3 linked regions of the Oryzias latipes genome follow. The protein of the gene in region 3 purifies or fractionates together with the protein of the main gene of each other region. This does not show direct contact. Links are inferred from orthologs where the notes say so. Each region holds a gene or a part of one and is shown on either strand. Other genes may lie near its edges. The genes, in order: cep290, cep97 and cep76.

Region 1 (3,655 bases), on a different chromosome or scaffold from region 3:
CACATCTGAATCAGATTAAATTACTAAACAAGTTTAATGGCTTTGACATTTTACAACACAAAATCGAACAAATGGGGATTTATGGATTCTGGCCTGCACATGGTGTTTGTTTTCATTTCACTGTCTCCAGGTGCAGAAACAGGCCTAGATAAAGAAGGCAAGGCAACAATCAACAATGAAATGGTCTCTGCTGCGAGAAGGATCACCACTTTAGAGATGAAGGAGCTGAATGAGAGGCAGAGAGCCGAGCATGCCCACAAAATGTACGAGCATGTGAGGAACTCCCTGAAGCACGTGGAGGAGCGCAACTTGGAGCTGGAGTCCAAATTTGCCAAGGTAGGAAACTTAAAAAGGAGACGTAAAAATGTTTAGGGAGCTAAATTCTTGCATTGTAGCCAAAAATATCCATCTTTGTTTGTAAAATAATTTCAGTGTTGTTATTATGCATCATCCAGAACCTATGGGATCAGATTTCTATGTCAACATGTTGGTTTGTGACTCTAACAGACACAGGGCACATGATGCATGTTCAAGAATGCGCTAAATGAGAGTTCTGAAACGTGCTCAGGGAGGGGCTTCTTCCTTTATTTCTTGTTTTTCTGTTTACCAGCACATGTCTGCCATGTACAATTGGAAGAAGCTCAATGTGAATTATCCAAACAGTGTAAATTTCGCATGTCTTTCTCCATGCTTTTTTATTCACAGCTCTATTCCAATTTATGAAAGACTTGGTGTCATGTAATTCCAGCCCGGCATAAATGCAATCATTCATTTGTAGGCCGCGGTGCAGAGCCAGAGCTGCCAAACTATGACCGGAAGATTACAGTGTCAGTTCCTGCCGTGCCAACCCATTTGTCAAAGTGTCCTTGGGCAAGACACTGAACCCCACGTTGCTCCTGGGGGTTAATAGCTGGTGCCAGTGTAGTGAAGCCGCTGCCGGTGTGTGAGTGAGTGAATGGATCTGAGGCTGTGCAGTGCTTTGGGCTGCCTAAGAAGGTAGAAAAGCGCTACTTAAGCTTACGCCACTTACCATTTTCTCCATGATCAATTTCCAAACGGTTGGCACTTCCAAAAATTCAAGGAGACATCATCCATACGTCACTACCAAGTCTGAGTCCCTGATTTGTCAAAGTTCAACATGTGTTCAATGGCCACACGTTTAGCACATGGAGCCCAAACACAGTCGTAGAAACATGTAGCTATGCCTACACGATATGCACGAGGGTTTTAAACACAGTTTGACTTTACACAGACTTTTCATCGGAAGTGACTGCTTGAGTGCACATCCAAGGGCGATTTTGTACATAGCTTAACAAAGCTTAGAAACTGGACTGTTGTTTCTCTGTTTGCTCTTGATGTTTTCTTAGATAGAGCTTGATTCTACAATGGCTTTTATCAAATCCTTTCTTTGCTTTTTTTTGTTTAGTTGACCAAGATGAATGCTGAGGCCCAAAAGACTGAGCGAGAGCTAAGAGATGAGTTGGCGCAAAGCATCGGCAAAGCTGTGAGCGATGCTGACAGGGCCAGGATCGCAGAGCTGGAAAAGGCTGAGGTGGAGCTCCGGACTGAAGTTTCAAAGTATGTCCGAGTATCTCGGTATTAAATCTATCAATATGCTCTTATCACGAAAAACAAGCTGTGTTGAAAACTACGTAAGCATTCCAGCCATTAATCTGGTGATAAATTTTAAAAGTTAGAGTTGTTTGTTGAGTCTGGTTTTTTAGATAAGTTCTCCTGGCTGTGGTTTTGATGGGAGAAGCTGGAGAGTTTTTCTTGGGCTATAATCAACATTTGTTTTGGAATCGTGAACATAACAGCCTCTCAGCATATTTCTTTCCCTGTTTGTAAAAAGTGAAAATCTGATCTTAGTGCTGAAGTACTGATTATAGATCCATGTTCTCAAAGTAAAATGAGCTTTTCTGTGCTTTTGGATCAACACAATCCCCTGTGTCTGTAAATCATTCGATCAAAGACACCTATTGTTTTCTGTTATTGCTTAAGTTGCACTCAACATATCTTATTCTTTTTGACAGGCTTCAGGAGGTGTCAGAAGTTGCTTTGACTCAGGTTGCTGCTTTACAGGCCAGACACAGGTCTAAAGATAAAGAAGTAGAAGCTTTGAAGACACAAATACTAGATTATCAGGTACGTGAAGTGGTTTTTTTGCTTGGGGCTCTACTACACCAAATGATCTATAGAAACCACATCTGTTAAAGATGAAAATGGTGTCTTTAACATGTTCTTTTGGCATTTTTTTCTGTTGATTGAGGATATATATCAAGAAAATTAAGCTTAAAATTGCATTTCTTAGTATTTCCTTATTAAAATCGTTTAGAATCAGGAGCAGACAAAAGAATACTGTTTGAATTGTGGTTATTAAACTACAATATCTTCTCAGTCACAGTCAGATGAGAAGGCTCTGATCGCAAAGCTCCACCAGCACATTGTTGCTCTGCAGCTCAGTGAGTCGGCAGCTCTGGAAAAACTGGATTCCTCCACAACTCGCATCCATCAGCTGGAGGCCCACATCCTAAGAGCTGAGCAGCGTCTGGACGCCGCCGAGCGCTCGCTTTTCCTCGCCCGCCAAGAGGCCAAGAATCGCTCGAGGCATCTGAGGCAGACCATCCAGTCACTACGAAGGCAGTTTGCTGGAGCGCTGCCACTTCCTCAGCAGGAGAAGTTTTCTGTAGCCATGCTGCGACTCCACGAGGACAGAGTGAAGGCCCAGGAGGAGATGAAGAAAGCTGAGGAGGAGAAGCGGAGGGTCCAGGGAAGAGCCGAGGAACTGGAACTGAGACTGCAAGGCCTACAAGGGCTCATGTCAACTCTGAAGGATGCAAAAGGAGCACAGAAGGTTTGTAGAAGAAACATATGAGCCTATTGACCTATCTTATGCTCACTCTATACACAAGTATGCTATTTACACAGGTAACTGAGTGGCACAAAAGGATGGAGGAGGCTCGACTGCAGGAACTGAGAAAAGGAAGGGAGCTGGTATTCCAGAAAGAGGAGATCAGGTACCTGAAGAACCTTGTGGGAGAGCAGGACCAAACCATCCGCTCACTGGAAGAGGAAATTGTTCAGCTGCAAACAGTGAGAAAATAAAAATCTCCAGACATTTTTAAACTGGCTAAAACCTACTTTGTTAATATATAGAATACTTTGGCTTTATTTCATTACAAAGGTTCAAGGTTCAAGGTTAATTGCCGTTTGCACATACAGTACATTTGAATTTTTCTTTGGCATCTCTCAGGTCAGGGTGAATATAGAGCAAGACAAAATTTAAGAAGAGAACAAAATTAGATTTAAAAAAGTACAAAGTATAAAATACAAATAAATAGGAATATTGCAGCGTCCCAACCTTTTCAGAAGAAGAATTATTGCACTTATGTGGAGTTAAATTGTGTTAACAGTTTTAGAAGGAGGCTTTTTAACAGTAATTTACTTTTCGACATTAAGCTTAACGAAGAGCAACAGCTTGCAAGAGACCAACGGGAAGTGGAGTTGGAGCGCCAACTGGAGGACTACGAGAAGCACCAGAGTGAGATCGTCGGCAGTGTTGAGGTAAAGCATCGCTTACAGCTGGTTAAATCAGTGGTTTTTCACCTTTTTGGAGCTTGAGTTCACGTTAATATCACTTGATTAAAAATCACAA
Region 2 (2,890 bases), on a different chromosome or scaffold from region 3:
CTTTCCACCTCAAACAAAGAGGTGAATGTGTGTGACAGACGCTTGTTGAGTCACTTACTTTTCTAATTTGTCCGTCAGAAAGACGATGTGATCTTGCATCCTCCGCAGGCGGATTTCACCGCGCACCTCTTTAGCAGTGGGGTGACAACATCGCGTGTGCTGTCCTCTCCACCAGGACTGGATTTTAACAGCTGCTTTGTCTGCTTCTGTCATCGTTTTTCTCAAAAACAAACCCACTTCTCCTTTTATTTCTGCTCTGTCGGTGGACGCCTCAGGACCATCGAGTGGCGCTCCGGCTCCGAAGGCTGGCGGTGCAGGTGTGATGGCGCCAGCTTCTTTCTCTATAGTCTTCTGGTCCGGTTTCTCTGTTGGCGGGTGGCGCGTCCTGTGCGTCTTAGGCTGTGCCGGCCGTTTCAGAGCCAGAGAATCGGGCTCAAACGTCTCAGTCTCGTCTTCGGTGTCGGTGTGGGTCGTGTGCAGGTCTGTGTCTGATGTGAAGGGCAGAAACACGGACTCAGACGACAGCATGCTGCTGTTGAGTTTGTCCTCATCGGTCTGCACATCCTCCAAATAAATGTGTTCCTCTGCGAGCCTTTGGCTGTGAACCACCGGCAGCGATGCATGAGCGGAGTCACAGCTCACCCAGGTGTTGAACTGCACCACTGGTTCTAAGCAGGAAAGGTGGCAAAGAGGAAAATCCACTTCACATTTCCTTCCAAACAAGCAGCAACTAGCACACAGAGCTGCAAAGCCCCCTCACCCTTCTCCAGGACTGATGGAGGATCAGCTGGTCCTGGTGTGGTGACTTCTTTCTCCTCTTGAGCTCCCCCTAGTGGATGTGAAGGGCTGTGCCTCTCCACGTCAAGCTGGGTTGGACGTGGAGGACTGAGGCAGCCTCCCTGGGTCTCCTCTAACAGCTGTCTTTGATGAAACCTAAGACCAGAGCATCAGTCTTAGAGATATTTTTATGCAGAATGGTTACATATGATGCTCGTAGGAGGAGCATGGAGGGAATGATGAACAACAGTAGAGATCCTCACCTCTGCTTGCTGAGGATCTTCTCTAGTTTGGCGTTTTCTGCCGTCTCCAGCGCTGGTGATGCAGTCAGAGGGCAAACAGTCGCCAAATACTGACTCAGCTGGACGTGCTGCCCTGGACGAAATGAACGACCTTTACCCTGACTGTAGAGCCACTCAGCTTTCAGACTGAATCAGAAAAATATTTATAGTACAAATTAATTATTTCAAACACTCAAACATGTCTTTTTTTTTTTTTATCTAGAGCGTACACACCCTTCTTTTTGAGTCACCACATAGCCGTCCAGGACTTTCAGATTCAGACACCAGCTCATGATGTACGGTCGATAATCAAAACCTGGCAGGGAAGGAGTCGCCATAACGCAGGGGTTGCTCATTATGGACAGCTGCTCCAGCTCATGAAGTGATGCCAGGTACGACACCTAAACACGAATCAGAAGAAAAATGACTTTCAGATGCTTTCGTTGTGGAAGGAAAGCTGTATCAAAACCCAGGACTTACTTCATTCAGGTCCCTGATCTCGTTTTCTGCCAGCGACAGAATGGAAAGGTGCGCCGGCAGGTGGGCGGGAACAGTGCGGAGTGTTGTAATGCTGTTTCCATGAAGCAGAAGTGTCTGCAGCACCAACGGGGAAAGTCACCAACCAAACATCTTCACAGCCGGTGTGTTGTTTTAAGTAAGCGTGAGTGTCAGTTTGAACGCTGACCTTTAATGCAGCCAGTTTAGTCAGATCTCCAATGGTGGAAATGTTGTTGTCAGACAAGTCCAGGTGTTGAAGAGACACACAGCTGTACAGCTGTTCAATCACCTGTCACACATGAGAGTGCTGTTAAATCCATTCAAACCCATGGATTCAGCTTTACAACCTGAAAAATAAAACTGCAGAAAAACTAAAACAACTACCATCCTAAAATGTACTTCAATATTTATGTCAACACTTATGTTTAAAAACTTTTGAACCTGCTGAGTTTGAAATAAATTACAACAATTTATTGGAGCCCATAGCTTATCGTTTATTTGCAAATGTGTTTAGATAAAAAAGCAAAAGACAAATATAATGTGAACAGATCAAAACGAATTGTGTTGTTTACCTGCTTCAACGAGAGCTAAACTGGAAGTTGTGTTCAGATTTTACAGCTATTAAGACGAGTGTTGTGCTCTTAACCGCTTTAGGTTTTAAAACTGAGTTACGGAAAAACAAATGGAAACGACTGCAAGAGAAAGACGCTAAAGGTGATCGAGGTTTAACTTTGAACTTTACAAATCCAAAAAAAATTCATATTCATTTTAATTCATGATAATTTATATGGCGCCTTCAGATAACCACAGTCAGAACAAGGTGGTGTACATTTAAAGCTCAAAACATTAAAAACAACTAAAAGTGTAAACCTAAAGTAAAACAGTGTAAAATAAAAATGCTGTGTCAAAGGCCTGACTATAAAAATGTGTTTTTTTGTTTTTTTTTCCCCAAATGAGGACAGTGAGGATCCCTGCTGCACTCAGTAACACGTTCCACAGCTTCGGTGCACATAGTGAAAACGCTCGTTCCAGTCTGAGCTTCTTCCTGACCTCAGCACGTCCAAGAGAGGCTGACCTGACACCAAGCTGGGGTTTAGGGAGAAGCTCAGACAGGTATGAAGGTACGATTATTTAAAGATTTCAAAACAGAATCTTAAATGAGCTCTAAAACCACAGGCAGACAGTGAAAGGTAGCTAGGATGTGGCTCCAACCAGAACATGAGCAGCAGCGTACCGGACACGCGAGACGGACGACTGGCTGACTCCAAAATAAAGAGAATTCCAGTAATCCAGCCCAGATGTAATGAAGGCTGGAGGAAGCAAAATAAAAGAAA
Region 3 (3,499 bases):
TAGGAGAACGTGGAAGGATAAGTGAGTGTTCTCCACAGAGAGCACTGACCTGGACTACATCCCCAAAATCCTTCAGATACAGTACAGACCAAAAGTTTGGACACACCCTCTCATTCAAAGAGTTTTCTTTATTTTCATGACTATGAAATTATAGATTCACACTGAAGGCGTCAAAACTATGAATGGCATGTGGCTGTGTTGGCAGATGATGTGAGCAGTGATCTTCATCGTCACTATGTGCTCTTCCTGCAACCTCCTCCATAGCTTTTCTTCGGGTTCTTTATTTTGAAAATCACATTCTACTTAATGGGGACAATGCTCTTAAAGACAGACACCCCCACCCCCACCTTCTGAGACCACCACATTCTTTCTTGCTGCAGATTGTTGTATTTTTCTGTTGACCTAAACAAACCTGACGTTTGATTTGATCTGGACGCACCGTTCATCTCTTTCAAAAGCTAGTTTTGTAGAAATCTCTCCTGTTAATGCAAACAAAAGTCAGCTTTTCATGGAGAAATAAACATCTTTAATGTTCATAAGAAAAAATGTGCAATCAGGAAAAAAATACATTTACAATGCTTCTATAAAAGAACACAGTTAGAAAAAATATCTTATTTGCCAAAAATAAATAACTAAACTTACAACTGAAGATTTTGCTTATTCCTGAACTGGTATCTGAGAACAGAATATTCCTGTAACTGCTGGTTTTACCGTCATTTCATGATGGATTCAGACGTTTTGTGATCAGAAATTGTCTGCATAAAGTGTCTTGATGCTGTGCAGCATTAGAGTACAGAGCGGTATTTGCATGCAAACATGAGCCACACGGCACACGCGTTCTCAGGATATATGAAGACCCACACACGGACGGCCAGCCTCACACTGTCACCTCGGCAGCAGATGATCTCCTCACAGAACGGAGACCTGAAAGATCACAGAACAGAAAAATGAGATCCGCTAAAAAAAAAAAAATACATTTTAGTCTACGACGCTAAACACCACAATCAACAAAGCTTTAGAAAAAGAAACCAAATGTCTGCACAGCAATGCAGTCCAAAGCTGCAGCCCTGCGATCGGCTCATAAATCCCTGTGACAGCATGATCCAAGCTTACAAATATGAAGATTTGTTCTGCAACTACAGTTAAAAAACAACAACCACACATTCTGCAACACCTGTGTGAATTGATTCTAGGAGGGAGAGGGTGTACAGAAATGACAAACACAATTATAGGGATTTGTGCAGTACTAAAGTACCAACACTCTAAATACAAAAGCAGGTTTTGTGTCTTCTAAAAGTACTTATTATCAGGCTCATTTACACAACAGACATTTGGGTTGGAAGAATCTGGAAACCTTTTCCTGTTTCTTGTAGTGTCTAGCTGTCACAGGAACAACAATGACATCAGAAGGTGGTCTTCTAGAACCGGTTACAAGGTTGATGCTCGGTGTTGTGGTGGCACGTCCAAACTCAGAAGTGGACAGAATGGAGTTTGTGCATGCAAGTCAAGCTCAGACTGGCTCATTCATGTGTCACTTTGAGAAATGGTACAGAGTGATGTGGTGGAACAGGAGCCTAAAGTACGATGGATCTGGCTAAATCCTGTTGGTTTGTTGAAGTATTCAGAGCTCCTTTCACTGGAGCTAAGGTCAAATTCAAGTCCTGAAAAGATACCCCCTGTTTAACAGGCAGAGTGTTGGTTACCTCTGACACTTTTGTGGCCAACATACTGAGGTCGACTAAAGCTGAGGGTCACCCACAACAAACAGTGCCGTGTTTGTTTCCTGACTAAATAAATCCAGAATACTTTACCTTTAGTTATCCAGAATAACAGTTTGCAAAACTCATAAAGGAGTCAGACTCGTGGTGCATTCACGCCATACACGATTTGCGTGTTCAAGGGCACTGAGTTTCAATGTTAAGTCAATGTACAGAGCGATCTGAGGGCATGTGGCCCTATGTGGGCGTGGCACGGCGAGGTTGACGCGCCAGTTAGGGACTCAGCTTTGGGCAAGTGACGTTTACAGTGGCTCGGTCAAAGGGTAAACAAATACATCCAATATGGCTGCTTGATGTATCCATTCATCTTCTTAACCCGCTGGGGCCGCGGGGTTGTCAGGTCGAATTAAGACTACTACGATGGCAGAGCGGTCCGGCCGGACCCTAGGCGGCGCTGTTCAGGGTGTACCCCCCCACCCCCTTTGCAACTCAGCATAGCAAGCGAGCAAGCAGGGGAAGGGGATCGAGCGAGCACCGCTGCCTAGGGCCTGGCAGTCACTATGCTGGCCCACGGGTAGTTAGCTGGCCAGCGGACAGAGAGCCACAGCAGGTGCCGCGATCGCTTTAGCTCCATGTTTATCTTATTTTCATCGAGGCAATAAAAAAAAAAGAACCCCGTTTTATTTTTATTTTCCCCCCAGCCAGTTCATACTCAAACTGAGCCACAGACAGACAGTAGTAATGTTTAAAACTGCCGTCATCCAGGCGCAGCTCTCGCTGCTGGAGTTAAGCACCGGGAGAAACTCTGAAGGATCTGGTGAACACAGACATGGCAACGAGCTTGCTGGCGCCTCTGTAGAACTCTCCAAAACATATAAACCCAAGTTCTTCGCTCAACATCATCCATGTTATTCAAGATGTGGCAACGAATGAAGTCCAGAAAAACTATGGCAGTTGCTCCGTCGTCGGGTGTGGAGCAGTTAATTTGATGCGTGTCAAGAGAGAGGCGGCAGAAGCAAATTTGATGCGCAAATCGCGTCCAGTGTGAATGCATCATCAGTTCTCCAGAAAGATCGTACCTGAGGCAGGTGGCAAAGGCTCTGCGAGCGTTGCGGTGCAGGAAGTGTATAGGGAAACCTTTAAAGGTTTGTCCGTCTGGCACAGCCCTCCTCACTGCGTCCTGGAACTCTTCATTGCCGCAGGAAACTCCAGTGCAACGCTCCATTTCATAAGCGGACAGAGCCGAGGACAGCAGGTAGCAGAGATGGTCGTCCCACACTGTTCCCAGATCTAGGTCCTGAAGCAGATGGCTCATTTACAATCCCACAAACAATAAATGAACATGTTTTTTTAAGGAATTTCTATGACCAATAGTTTGTACTCAACCTTTTCTGCTGCACACAGGTGGCCCACTTTGTATCATGTAGGTTGTATATGTAGGTTTTCCATCAAACTTAAAACCACTTTACCTTCCTGTGCTCATACACCAGGTAGCGCATCTCCATCTCAAGCTGGTTGCTGGCTGCTGAAGGATCCAGAGACGGGGCACATAGAGGAGGCAGAGGGGGTAGGGAGGTGCAGGAGCCTGGGCCACAAACTGACCTCAGAGCCTCCTCACTCATGGCTTTCCACCGGGACGGATTCTGAGGGACAACAGAGTTCACACTGACCCACTACCGAAACCCCAGTGGATGTTCTCTCTTCCCACAAAGTGGAGCCTGATGTGAGGATTTCGGAGACTACATTTACTTTTTTACATTCGAATACATTAAGACACACCA

Evidence for each region.
Region 1: the proteins of cep76 (region 3) and cep290 purify together in Homo sapiens (co-immunoprecipitation; 5 studies listed by BioGRID and IntAct, with this or other methods). This does not show direct contact. The link is inferred for Oryzias latipes from reciprocal best matches to the Homo sapiens genes CEP76 and CEP290.
Region 2: the proteins of cep76 (region 3) and cep97 purify together in Homo sapiens (co-immunoprecipitation; 4 studies listed by BioGRID and IntAct, with this or other methods). This does not show direct contact. The link is inferred for Oryzias latipes from reciprocal best matches to the Homo sapiens genes CEP76 and CEP97.

The regions. Positions count from the first base shown.
Region 1 is NC_019864.2:2,301,282-2,304,936, reverse strand, and holds part of cep290 (centrosomal protein of 290 kDa), read left to right. Parts: intron 1-130; coding exon 131-336; intron 337-1,426; coding exon 1,427-1,578; intron 1,579-2,033; coding exon 2,034-2,145; intron 2,146-2,398; coding exon 2,399-2,854; intron 2,855-2,928; coding exon 2,929-3,093; intron 3,094-3,459; coding exon 3,460-3,564; intron 3,565-3,655. UniProt on the Homo sapiens protein: Involved in early and late steps in cilia formation. Its association with CCP110 is required for inhibition of primary cilia formation by CCP110.
Region 2 is NC_019879.2:10,880,733-10,883,622, forward strand, and holds part of cep97 (centrosomal protein of 97 kDa), read right to left. Parts: intron 1,846-2,890; coding exon 1,744-1,845; intron 1,653-1,743; coding exon 1,539-1,652; intron 1,460-1,538; coding exon 1,293-1,459; intron 1,206-1,292; coding exon 1,041-1,205; intron 934-1,040; coding exon 761-933; intron 669-760; coding exon 59-668; intron 1-58. UniProt on the Homo sapiens protein: Acts as a key negative regulator of ciliogenesis in collaboration with CCP110 by capping the mother centriole thereby preventing cilia formation. Required for recruitment of CCP110 to the centrosome.
Region 3 is NC_019874.2:5,551,235-5,554,733, reverse strand, and holds the end of cep76 (centrosomal protein of 76 kDa), read right to left. Parts: intron 3,362-3,499; coding exon 3,188-3,361; intron 3,016-3,187; coding exon 2,798-3,015; intron 925-2,797; coding exon 786-924; 3' UTR 504-785; downstream 1-503. UniProt on the Homo sapiens protein: Centrosomal protein involved in regulation of centriole duplication. Required to limit centriole duplication to once per cell cycle by preventing centriole reduplication.